Linked DNA regions of Caenorhabditis elegans. The protein of the gene in region 2 purifies or fractionates together with the protein of the main gene of each other region. This does not show direct contact. Each region holds a gene or a part of one and is shown on either strand. Other genes may lie near its edges.

Region 1 (6,647 bases), on a different chromosome or scaffold from region 2:
ATTTTGTGGATTTTTTTTTGTTTTTTTAGACGGAAATTAGTCGAAATATACCAAATATAACTGTTAAATAGCATATCTTTTCAATTTCGCAACAAAAAATTTGAATTATTTTGAATGACATGATTTCGAAATTAAATGTTTAATTCCGGCAAATTGCCGGTTTGCCGGAAAAAAATAAAATTTTAAATTCTTGCGAATTGCCGATTTGCCGGAAATTTTCTATTTTTTCAAGTATGCCGATTTGCCGGAAAAAATTAAACTTTGAATTCATGCAAATTGCCGATTTGCCGGAAATTTTCAATTTTAATTTCGCGCAAGTTGCCGGTTTGCCGGAAAATTTTTTAAAATTCCGGCAAATTGCCGGTTTGCCGGAAGTTCTTAAAGGGATTTTTTAAAAGATAGTGTGCCTACAATTTAATTTTAGGCAAATTAGGCAAACTGCCAACTTGCCGGTTGCCGATTTGCCAAAACAAATATAACTATGAAAATTTCCAGATTGCTTGCCAAAACTAAAATTCATGGATCTTTCACACAATCATCTGGATGCTCTTCCTGCTTCAATTTCAAAATGTGAAAATCTTGAATCTCTAATTCTCAACAACAACCGCCTCAATGAATCGAGTTTCCCGGATATATCAAATCTCTCGAATCTTCATATTTTCGACGCCGCTCACAACACAATTTCCAAGATTCCTGCGTCTCTCACTTCTCACAATCTTTCTGCAAAACTCCATACGATAATACTCTCTCATAATTCAATTGAAGTGATACCGGATAGTTTGAGCAATTTGAAGCAATTGAAAGAGCTTAAAATTGATGAGAATAAGCTGAAAGATGTTCCGAGTGTGATTGCACACCTTCCCAAGTTGAAGGTTTTGGATATTTCGAAGAATTGCTTCTCGGAGAGCAGATTTCAGAAGCTTGCCAATGATAAGCGTGGGAAGCTTAATGCAGTGATTGCTCTGGCTCAAAAAATTGGAAAACCAATTGGAAATTCTGAAGAGCAGAAGAAAGCTCCTGAATCCGGTTCCCCCGATTTTCCAGTTCCAGACGCCCCACTCACAGTCCGTACTGGAATTGAGAATTTGACAGTTCGTAGGCATCCCAGTGTCTCTGAAATCCGACCATATCTTGTTTGCTGTGTCATCAATAATGTTGATCTCAATGGAGGAGACTCGTTCAAGAAATTCATTGCTCTTCAAACGAAAATGCACGCGTCGGCTCTCTGTGAGAATCGAACTCTTTCGGCTATTGGAACGCATCGGCTCGATTCTTTTCAGCTTCCACTTTGTTATATGGCTCTTCCGAAGGATGAACTATATGTACGATTTAAAAAAGTGAAAATTGAAAAAAAAAACATAAAATTTGAGAGAAATTTCCGATTTTTTTTCAAAGAAAATTGAAAATTTTCAGATTTTTTTCGAAAAATGTTCGAATAAAAAATGTTTGAAATTCGAAAATTTTATACTTTTTTTTCCAGAGAAAACCCACAAATGTTATCTGAAAAAATTGAAAATTTCCGATTTTTTCAGGAAAAATTGAGAAAAAAATGTTTTACATTTTTTAAAATGTTTAAAACTAAAATTTTCGATTTTTTTTCAGAGAAAAAACACTTTTTAAATTGTTTCTGAAAAAATCGAAAATTTCCGTTTTTCCCTGTAAAAATTGAAAAATGTTCGATTTTTTGAAGAGAAATTTAAATTTTCTTTTCTTTTTTTTAAGAGAAAACCGAGAAAATAATACTTTTTTTTGATTTTTTAAACAGCAAAAACAAAAATGTTTCGATTTTCTCAAAAAATTAGGAAAAATGACAAAAGTAAAACTATTTTTAGAAAAATCTTTTTTTAAGCTGAAATTTTGAAAATCAAAAAAAAAACCTGTTAAAACCGGCAATTTTAGCAAAAATTTTTAAAGAAAATTAAAAAAATTTGTTTCAAAAAATTAGCAAAAATGAGCAAAAACTAATTTTTCCCCACTGCTTCCTCATTTTCCAAAAAAAAAAACCATTTCCAGATCCGTGCATTAAACAAAAAATCGAGTGTAAGTGCATCTGAACTGCTGGACAGTCTTCTTCGTGACGCTGAGCTGGCCAGAAAACGGAGCAAGAGAAGTACAGTTGATCCATTGCACAAGTACTTGCATATAGTAAAGGATGAGAATATTCTTGCGTGTCTTGTAGACTCTCAACAAATTGTTATTAGCCTGCCACCGATAACCAACTCGGATTGCACAAAGGTTCATTATTATGGAAAATTTTGAACAGTTTTAGTAAAAATGTTTTTGAAAAATCTTATTTTTTCGAAAATTTGCTTCAAAAATTAAGAAGAAAGAGCTTCATTTTACACATAATTTGTCAATTTTTAGAAAATTTTCCCCGTTGAGGTCAGTTAAAGATTTTTAGCAAACTTAGAAAAATTATGAAACAACGGAAAAAATGAAAAAAAAAAAAAAAAAAACACAGAAAATTTTAACTAATGCGTATTGGGCAATATATTTACCGCGCAAAATATCTCGTAGCGAAAACTACAGTAGTTCTTTAAATGACTACTGTAGGTCGATTTACGGGCTTCGCTTTTTGAAATGAGTTTCAGTTCGAATTGTGGCCTTTTCTAATTTTCGTCCAATTTTTCTTCTTTTTTTTTATATTTTCAACAATTAATTACAAAAAAACGATTCAAAATCGCTTTTCCACTGCTTTTCTTGTTGATTTTTCAATAAAGTTTCAATTTCACTGGTCTTTTTCTCTTTTTTCGAATTGGATAGCATTTTCATTCGAAAAAAAGAAAAACACAAGAAAAACTCAAACTTTATTGAAAAATTAACAAGAAAAACAGTGTAAAGCGATTTTGACTCTTTTTTTGTAATTTATTGATGAAAATTTAAAAAAAAAGAAGAAAAATTGGACGAAAATTAAAACCGCTGCCACAATTCGAACAGAAACTCATTTCAAAAAGCGAAGCCCGTAAATCGACCTACAGTAGTCAATTAAAGAATTACTGTAGTTTTCGCAACGAGATATTTTGCGCGTCAAATATGTTGTGCAATACGCATTTTCTCAGAATTTTGTGATATAGTAATAAAAATTAAAAATTTCTAGTATTTAAAATTGGAAACAAAAATTTCAGCTAACTGTGGATACCACGAGCATCTGGGTAGAAGTATCTTCGAAACAATCACTGGAAGCATGTAAAAAGACAATGGATGAACTGATTCTCTCAAGTCGTCAGATATTCCCAACTCTTTCAATTGATCAAGTCAGAGTTGTCGACAGTGATACACTTGTTTCAATTTATCCCGACAAAAATGACCTTCCAGGAGTCTCCCGGATATCTAATTAAAAATTTGACAAAAAAATAGTCTTAAATTCAGAAAATCCCCGAAAGAAAAATGAAAAATCAGAGTTTTTGACAAAAATGAGCGCTGCGACCAATCAGCGATTTGCTCCGCCCACTTTTTGACCAATCAGGATTTTCGGCGCAATTCTACTGGTTGTTCCAACATTTTTCATTGAAAATTAGTGTCAAAATATGGAAATTTACTATCAAAATGTATAAATCGATCTTTGAATTTTGCAAAAATTTTTGTCGCACAGAAATTGAGGCGGAGCTTGCTTTCGCAACACTGCCGCACGGGCAACAATTTTTGCAAAATTCAAAGATCGATTTATACATTTTGATAGTAAATTTCCATATCTTGACACTAATTTTCAATGAAAAATGTTGGAACAACCAGTAGAATTGCGCCGAAAATCCTGATTGGTTGAAAAGTGGGCGGAGCGAATCGCTGATTGGTCACAGTGCTCAATTTTGCCGAAAAGTCGGTTTTTTTTGGAATTTTTGAGTTTTTTTTTTTTGGATTTTTTTCCTTCCTTTTCACCTAATTATTTTGTTTTTGTTGTTACCATGTTTCTTGTTGTTTCTCCCCGATTTCCCCCGCTGACACTAGAATAAAAGTATCGTTTTTGTCGTGGGAAATGACTATTTCCTGTCTCTCGCTCTCTTTTTTGTCTCCAATTGGTTTTTTTTTGAATATAAAACCATGGAATATTTGTGGCGAGAAATTGTGCAATCTGTCGAGAGAAGTAATGCAATTTTCAGAAAGAAACGGATTTTAGAAATGACTGAAACTAGGTGAGTTGGAAAAAAATTAATTTTTTAAATTTAAAAGTGGAAAATTTTAGATTTTTCTTCAAAACAATTGTTTTTTTTTTGAAAAGTTCCAGAATTTTCTGGAAAACAAATTCTGAAATTTTTTAAAGAATTTCAGGTAAAAATCGAAATTTTTCGATTTTTTTAGAGTGTCTAGTTTTAAAATTGAAATTTCAAATTTTTTTAGAGTGTCTAGTTTTAAAATTGAAATTTCAAATTTTTTTATCTCAAAAAAAAAAATTGGATTTTTTTTAAATTGCAACAGAAATTTCCAGAATTTTCCAGTAAAAAACTTTAGAAAATCTGGAATTCCAAGAAAAGGAACACAGTTTTTTTATTAAAAATTTTTTTTGAAATTCTGGAATTTTTGGAACTTTTAACAAAAAATTAGAAAATCGAATTATTTTTTTTTCATTTTTTTTTAAATTAAAACCAAAAAAGAAAAAAAAAGCTTTTTTTTTCTCGTTAGAAAAGTTTCAAAAAACGTAATTTCTGAAAATTTGTACAATTTTTTTGGAAAATTCGGATTTTTTTGATGTAAAAAAAAATTTCCAGAATTTGTTGAAAAAAAAAGAAAAAAGAGATGTTTTTAGGCATTTCAGAATAAAAAAATCCAAAATTTTCCACTTTCTTGTCAGCAAATCGAAAAAAAATCCAAATTTTTTTTTAGAAAATCGAATTTTGAAATTAAAATTAGAATTTTTTAAAATTAAAAATAATAAAAAATCCAAATTTTCGATTTTTTTTAGAAAATCGAATTTTAAAATTAAAATTTCAATTTTTTAAAAATTAAATCGTTAAAAATCGAAAGAAAAAAAATTAAAAATCGAAAAAAATTGCAATTTTTTCAGCACAGTATCCATCGCCAGTAGTGCAATCGTCTGCGTCGAAGCGGATATAAAAGGAGAAGTTATAATTAAAGAAGGCTGCGTCGTCCATCCATTTGTAGTGTTCGACGCCACAAAAGGCCCAATTTATGTTGGAGAAAATAATATTTTTGAAGAATACGCAGTTATTCGGAATAAGTATGTTCAAAACATATGATACAGGAATCGCCAAATTGCCGGTTTACCGATTTGCCGGAAAAAAACGGCAGTTTGCCGGAATTTTAAATTTAATTTTTCTGGCAATCCGCCAGTTTGCCGGGATTGAACACTTCCTGCAAATTCGATAAATCGGCAATCTGCTGGAATGGAAAATTTCCGGCAAATCAGCAAGTTGCCGGAATTTAAAATTTAATTTTTCCGGCAAACCTACTTGTTGCCGGAATTTAAAATTTCCGGCATGCGGAAAATCGGCAATATGCCGAAAATAACAATTTCCGGCAAACTGGCAATTTGGCGGAATTCAAAATGTAATTTTTCCGGCAAATCGGCAGTTTGCCGGAATTATAAATTTAATTTTTTCCGGCAAACCACCAATTTGCCGGGATTGAAAATTTCCGGCAAAGCTGATATCCGGCATGCGGAAAATCGGCATATTGCCGGAATTGAAATTTCCGGAAAACCGGCAATTTGGCAGAATTTAAAATTTAATTTTTCCGGCAAACCGGCAATTTGCCGAAAATAAAAATTTCCGGCAAATCGGCAAATTGCCGGAATTGAAAATTTACGGCGAACCGACATATTGCCGGAATCGAAATTTGAAATTTCCGGCAAATCGGTAAACCGGCAAGGTTTTTTCCGGCAAATTCGGCAAGAATCTCCATTTCAACAGAAAAATTTTTAGGCAATGTTTGAGAAAAAAAACGATTTTTTTCCAGCAGCGACGGTCAACCAATGATAATCGGTGACTGGAACATCTTTCAAGTCCACTCGAAATCCAGTGCAAAATACGTTGGAAGCCGGAATGTGATTGGTGTGCATGCGGTGCTCGAAGACGGTTGCTCCGTTTCAGATGACTGTAGCGTTGGAGCCAAGTGTACAGTGTTTTCCCATCAAAATCTGGAACCTTCTGTGTCTGTTTATGCAGCCACGAATTTGAGTAGAACGACGAAAACGCCGAATATGGTACGGGAAATGCTGCTTTTTTTTCGCAAAAAGCGGCGCCGCACAGAAATAGAGGCGGAGCTTAATTTTGCAACCATGCGGCACAGTTTTTCTTTCTTTTTTTCACCCATTTCCCACAGTTTTCATGTTTAATTGTTTTTTATATGAAAAAAATTGAATAAAACAGGTAAAATTGGAAATTTTTTGAAATGAAGTGAAAAACAGTGCTGCATGGTTGCGAATTTTCGCTCCGCCTCTTTTTCTGTGCGGCGCCGCTGCTTTTTGTGCAAAATTCACGGATCAAGTGTCAGGGGTGGGCGGTAAATGATTTTTCAGGAAAATCGGCAAACCGGTAATTTGCCGGAAGTGAAATTGTCTGGCAAGTCGGCAAACCGGCAAATAGCCGGAATTCGCCGGAAATAAATTTTTCCGACAAACCGACAAATCGCCGGAAATTAAGTTTTCCGGAAAACCAACAAATTGGTGGAAATGAAATTTTCCGGCAAACCGC
Region 2 (6,647 bases):
TTTCGATAAATTGTTATAAACGAAATATAAATTAATTTTTCAATTGTCCCAGTATACCAATATTTTCAGATGTACCCCTCACATGTGTCAACACAACGGAACAATCGCCGTCGGAAAGAAAGAAATCGAATGTATCTGCCCACCACCATGGGATGGACGTTTTTGTGAACGTCTTGCATGCTGGAGAAAGACTATTTCAACTCAACAACACCGTTATCGTAACAACGGAGATCACTGCATCTGTGGAAATCATTATTCTGGAGCCAGCTGTGACGTCATCAAGTCATGCTTGAACAATGGACAACTCATCGATGGAAAGTGTAAATGTCCGGATGGATATTATGGAGATCTTTGTGATAAAAGATGTCAGAAGGGACATGTCACGTAAGTTGCATTTCAACATTTTAGTAACCAAGAAGAGCGTATCCAATAATATTTCAAAAAATCAAAAACTGATAAGTTTTCTCTGAAACAATACCCGTCAACATTGAATTTAAAATTAACTAAAATTATCCAAGGAGTGCCAAAAATTAGGCCACGCCCATTTATTGATTTTTTTTAAAATTTTACAAAGGAGTTTTATTGGTTTATTGGAGTTTTTGATCACATTAATTTGTTCTTTATATTTTTCCGTAAGTTACATAACTCAAAATAAATTTTCCCACACTCTCAAAGGGAAAAATAATTTCCGTTCGAGACCCTTGAATAGAGAGAAACAATCTGTCGATAAGTAATTAGCCACCTCCTCACTTCACTCTCTCACTTCCGGAAGTACCTTGCTCATTGTGTGTTCTCATGGCTCCGCCACCTAATTACACCCTTATTCATTCTTTTCCATTTTGCAGGTGTTCCACGTGTTCCTCCTTCATACCGGCTGCTCTGTTCGCCATCATCCTGCTCTGCGTCAACAAGTTCAACTATTAGATACATTTTTCGTTGACGAGGAGGGACCAGTTCGAGGGAAATTTTTTGTAATCTGCTATAAACTACACTGAGAATAATAAAACTGTTGGAGAGTTGTCTCGAGGATCAGGCCCCGCCCTTTTGCCAAAATTTTCGCAAACGTGCCGCACACTTTTTCTAACTTTTTTTTTTGTGAATTTTCTATTATTTTTCTTGAAATCCTTCTCAAAACTTTGGCAATCAATTTTCGAATCTATGGTTTTAGCTGAAAATGATTTTCAAAAAATAAAGAAAAAAGCGTGCGGCGCCCTTGCAAACTTTTCTGCATAAACATTTTTTAAAATGCTTTATTATTCTCAGTTTATTGATTATTTCCAGATTTTCATTAAATTTTCCTCTCGAAAATTCAAATTCCCTCTCACCAAAACTCGCTTTTTCTCCGAATTATTCTCCCCCACAAAACGGTGTTTTCTCTCTTTTTATGTCAATTTTTCCCAAAAAAATCAATTAAAAAATCTAAAATTTAGTTTAAAAATATATTATTTTCAATATATTTAAGCACTGCCTCTAGTCGTGTAATGCATTACTTTGATTCTCACATAAAAACACAAAAATCTTCCTTTTTTCTAGACTTTCTCTCAATTCAACCCCAATCGCTGCTTTCTTTCTTTTTTTCCACAATGTCACAATCATTATTAATATTTAATAAATCAAGTTTCTGTGTAAAATCTGGTTTATTATCTGGAAAGTTATGACGAACGGAGACAGAAAATGATTCAGTACAAAGTTGAGAAAAAACGAGAAAGGAAGAGTCAAATGGAATGCTCTAGATGAGCAGTAAAACAACAAAACTTGAGAAATGGAATAAAAATAAATAAAAAGTGGAGACGAGAATGGAATTTTGGATTGGTTATAAACACGATTACAGATAGATCATGGCCTCTAGATTTTCTCTAGAAATCTCCACGCGCTCCTCTCTTCTGGAATCCTCCTTTTGACTTGACAACGACGCGCATGTTCTTTGCTTTGAAATCGTTTCCTCGTGAAACCTGAAAATATTTTAATTTTGTAAAAAGAAAGAATACTGGATGCCTGACGGATATTAATCGCTTGTCAGAAGAACGTATATTTTTTTAAAGCGATAATTTTGATTGATATCAGAGCTATTTTTATACTTATCAGTTCCTCGGGTTTCGATTGCAACTAGGCTTCGAAAGTAGCATAAAGGGACTAGAAAATGGTTGAATATGATTAATTAATCCTACCTTCTTGATCCGATCGAACACAGAAACCTGCTTCGGTGGGTTTGCTTCGAGAACTTCAATCGGCTCTCCGTCCAACAGAACACCTTCCAGTGCTTTTTGAATAATAGCGACTTGTGCGTGAGGGACAATAAGATCAGCGCATCCATTACTCTCTCCTGTTGGGCCGTAGTGAAGCTGGACGAGCTCTGGCTCGTATTGTTCGAAGAGCTCTTCAAGATCTTCCTGAAATTTGTATTTGGTGGAACATGGTTCGAGAGTTTAATTAAAAAGTATACGCACTTGTGTGACAGTGGTTGCCAAGTTCTTTATGATAAGAGTCGATGGTCCAGTATGAATTTCTCTGACAACAGCCGGCGCAGTTCTTCCACGGATTGATGCTGTTGAAATGTTCCTAGTGGCAAGTCCTGCCGCCGCGGCACCGGCTTTAGTGACAAAGTTTGTCTGTGCTCGCCTCTTGGTCGTGAAATTTTGCTTTGGAGATCGATTTGCTGTCTGGAACATGTCGCGTTTCCATTTACCATCGATTCCTGATCCTCGAGCTGAAGAAAAGCTGAAAAACGTAATTGGCTGCCGATTTTGAGACAAGGAAGAAATAATTAATTAAAACAAAAACTTACTTCTTTTTGAAAGTGCGTCTATCCTTATCAACTTCGTCGGCGTACATATTTGATCGTTTTCTGTAAAAAACACAAGTTTGTGGTAATTAGTCATTTTTCCATATAATATCGAAGAGAAAACGTGTGAAACGCATGATAAAAACAAAACGAAGAAATATTTAACTGAAATAGAAAGAAAACGAGTAAACTGGAAACGTTCTATCGAAGAATGAGCTCATTATTGAGCAGAAATCGGAAAATCTAAATGGTCCAAAATTCGAATAAAACGCTTGGTGCATTTTTCCGTCGAGGTGTTTGCACACAATTGCACACCGTACCCTTTCCGTTAATTATCGAATTTTTTCCCGAATTGTTTCTCAATAAACTTCCGATTGCAAATGTCTATTTTAGCGAAATCCTTCATTATTTTTTAATGGTATATATTGCAGAAAATATTCAAATGCGTCATCTATCGTTCTTTTCTACCTTCATTGTCACGTCGGAGTGAACATTTCCATTTTAATCCGCTTTCCGCCCGCTCGTTGCTACTTTATTTGCCGCTTGCTCTGTTTTCCCTGACTTTTCTATATTTTTCGAGTTTCATTATATTTCTTCTTTCTTACAGCTAAAATGATGTCGTCAACTGCTGGAGGCGAAGTGTCCATTAATTCCGGCGATCTTCTCCTTGGAACTCTTTCCACTTCGATTACAAAGCTTGAGCAACAGATTCGAGCGACTCAGTTGTCTCAAAAGAAACTAAATTCAGATTGTGAAACAATGGCAGAGGTTTTCGAAGCTTTATTGGTATTAATTTAATTTAATTTTCAGTACCTTCGAGACCTGAGCGAATACAAGCAGCCTGTGGACTTGCTCCCCTACGTCGGAAAACTAAATGATTCTACAATTCGAGTAAATAATACACATCAGGTAGACATATTGCTTTTAAAGTTATTTTATTTTTAGTAATTCCAGAAACTCGACGATCTCCTCGAACGTCTCACAAAACTCCAGCGGCAGATTGCTCGGGAAACATATAAAAAGAAGAACTCAATTAAAGAACAAGAGCCGCCAGTTCAGCCAGAAAACTAGAAATATCAAGAAGAATATGACCTTCGCCCCTCTCGCGTCTCTGAAAATTCACTTATCACCTAACAATTTTTCTCCAAAATCACACCATTTTCCCCATTTGAATGTATGAATATTCCACTCACCATCCGCTTCTAGTCATTGTTTTTGCCATTTTTCTACTTAAAACAATAACATAAACGAGTTTTTTGTGTGTTGATTAACTTTCTCCAATTTGAACACTAAACCCTGTCTGATGCGGCAAACTTTTCCTATTTCTTTTCGGCAGCTGTTTGTCTATTTTCATATAATCTTATCAATCGAAAGTTTTGCACTTTTGTGATAAGAAACTTTGATAATCACAATATAAACTTTGTCGGAAAACTCGAAACTGTTGCGGAAAATTTTTGCCGAAAATTGAAATGGAGACCCGAAGAACTCGGGGGATGTCCAATTGGGGGGATTACCAACTCGGGGGATTGGCCCCGCCCACAGAACCGTGGCTTGCAATACGCCCATTTCTGCAACTGCCGCACGGTTTTGAAACTGTATTTTTCTTGTTAATTCTCGCTCTATTGAGAAAAATACAGTTTCGAAACCGTGCGGCAGTTGCAGAAATGGGCGTATTGCAAGCCACGGTTCTGTGGGCGGGGCCAATCCCCCGAGTTGGTAATCCCCCCAATTGGACATCCCCCGAGTTCTTCGGGTCTCTTGAGTTGCAAAATCCGCAATTTATCGTAAAATTTAGTGTTTTCGTCTACCGTAGTTTAATAACTCATTTTGAATAAAATCCAGCTTTTCCAACAATTCTTTTCGATTTTCGCCCTTTTCTCTTCAATTATTCTCTCTGAAGCCAACTTCCTTCATTTTTCAAACAATATTTTTTGCAATCATTGTGCGTCATCGCTTTACACCAGCACCCAAGAGCAGACAACAATACGAATTTTGGTTTTCATATGAAAAGTATTGAAATATAAATATGTGTTATATTGCGTTTTGTATTATCAGGTCACCGATCAGCTATTGTTAAAATTACCATATCAAAAAAATGTCTAGACAGCTCCGGACTAAAGTTTATTAGTTTATTTTTAAAAGGTTCTGTAAATTGAGGATTCTAACGATTTCGGGAATTTCAATGATCATCCATCATGCAAACTAACAGCAAAAAATCAAATTAAATTAACAAGTCTCAAACTAAGGCGAAAATAAATAAAAAATCACCAAATCTCACAGTTTCTCACGATTTGAATATCAATGGAGCCCAGAAATCATTTAAACGCCCCAATTGATCGAAATTTGTGACTTAAATACAGTGTGCTTGAAAATCTATCAGTGATCGAACCTTCATTAGATCACTGATCACCCTTCACGTCAAGAAACGAGACACCTCGTGTGTGTTGGTGACTTTTTCGTTCACTTCTCTCAGTTTATTACTTACTCTTTCGCTGCTCAAGCTCCACGTGTTGCTCCTGCTCCAACATTGACAAACAGTCATCCTCGTGGCTCCTCCTTCTGTTCTTTTTCCTCTTTTTTTACTATTTCTAACTCTATTTTACTTCATTTGTCTCTCCTCTCTTTAGCCTGCTTTCTTCTCTACAAAATAAAAACTTAATGAGAAAAGGGCAAAAATGGGAGTTTTCCTTTTACTAAACGAGTAGAAGATCTTCGCCTAGAGATAACCGTTTTCTCTTCAATTTTCATCTCTTTTCGATCTTTTCATTTTCTTCAAATCTTCAGAGCCTTCCGTCTCCCGACTTCTTGGTGAAAATGTCCGCTTTGGCATCGAAGCTATTTGCAAAATGTGCCGCTGGAGGACGGGCTCTTCAGTCCCAAGCAGTTCGGCAATTTTCAGCATATCCTATTGATGATTCTATGTTTGGGCTTAACGATGAGGAGATTGCTGTGAGTTTTTATAAAATATTTAAATTATAATTTTTACTTGAAATTAACCAGGGCGAGCGGTAATTCCACAATTTTCCTATTGTGCTCCAACATTTTTCATTAAAAATTAATGCAAGAATATAAATAGCCAATAACTTGATTAATCTGAAAATATTATACTTTTCACCTGGAACATTGAGAAAGTGTGGTCAAAAATAGCCTGAAATTCGCTTATTATCGAATTATCGAGCTTTGTTTTCCGACAATCGGCAATTTTTGAGCACTTTACCCAATGTTTCAGCCAAAAATAACGTTATTTTCAGATAAATCGAGTGAGTTTTTGTGTTTTTTTTCACTATTTTTGAATGTTGGAACAACATGGTGCATTAGGACATTTTGAAAATTGCCAATTAAATATATAATCTGATGGATTATTTTGTTTTCAATTTCTGATCCCTAATTTTCAGCTACGTCAATCCATCCGTCAATTCGCCGACAAGGAGCTCGCCCCGTATGCTGACAAGATTGACAAGGACAACGGATGGGATCAGCTGAGACCATTCTGGAAGAAGCTTGGAGACCAGGGACTACTTGGAATCACTGCGCCAGCTGAGTATGGTGGATCTGGAATGAATTATTTCTCTCATGTAATTGCAATGGAAGAGTTATCGCGTGCTGCTGGTGGAATTGCTCTTTCCTACGGAGCTCATTCAAATCTTTGTATCAACCAAATTGTGAGAAATGGATCTGAAGAGCAGAGAAAGAAGTATCTCCCAAAGGTAATTACCGAAAAAATTAGTAAACTAATTAGATTATAGAGAAAACGTTTCAGCTCATTTCCGGAGAGCACATGGGAGCTCTTGCCATGTCGGAGGCTCAAGCTGGATCTGACGTCGTTAGCATGAAGCTGCGTGCTGAGAAGAAGGGAGACAAGTAT

The links. Proteins that work in one complex are often made in the same cells at the same time.
Region 1: the proteins of C02B10.4 (region 2) and dnc-6 fractionate together in Caenorhabditis elegans (co-fractionation; one large-scale study listed by BioGRID). This does not show direct contact.

The regions. Positions count from the first base shown.
Region 1 is NC_003279.8:3,164,096-3,170,742, forward strand, and holds the start of dnc-6 (Dynactin subunit 6), read left to right. Parts: upstream 1-4,097; 5' UTR 4,098-4,116; coding exon 4,117-4,130; intron 4,131-4,999; coding exon 5,000-5,173; intron 5,174-5,910; coding exon 5,911-6,157; intron 6,158-6,647. Other genes in the region: Y54E10A.6 (B3/B4 tRNA-binding domain-containing protein), read left to right, coding at 496-1,322, 2,014-2,235, 3,126-3,338. UniProt on the Caenorhabditis elegans protein: Part of the dynactin complex that activates the molecular motor dynein for ultra-processive transport along microtubules.
Region 2 is NC_003282.8:5,087,784-5,094,430, reverse strand, and holds C02B10.4 (RRM domain-containing protein), read right to left. Parts: upstream 2,846-6,647; 5' UTR 2,833-2,845; coding exon 2,786-2,832; intron 2,719-2,785; coding exon 2,448-2,718; intron 2,391-2,447; coding exon 2,169-2,390; intron 1,953-2,168; coding exon 1,857-1,952; 3' UTR 1,624-1,856; downstream 1-1,623. Other genes in the region: EGF-like domain-containing protein C02B10.3, read left to right, coding at 70-384, 846-924; snpn-1 (SNAPIN protein homolog), read left to right, coding at 3,398-3,550, 3,593-3,691, 3,737-3,853; ivd-1 (Isovaleryl-CoA dehydrogenase, mitochondrial), read left to right, coding at 5,597-5,731, 6,178-6,489, 6,543-6,647.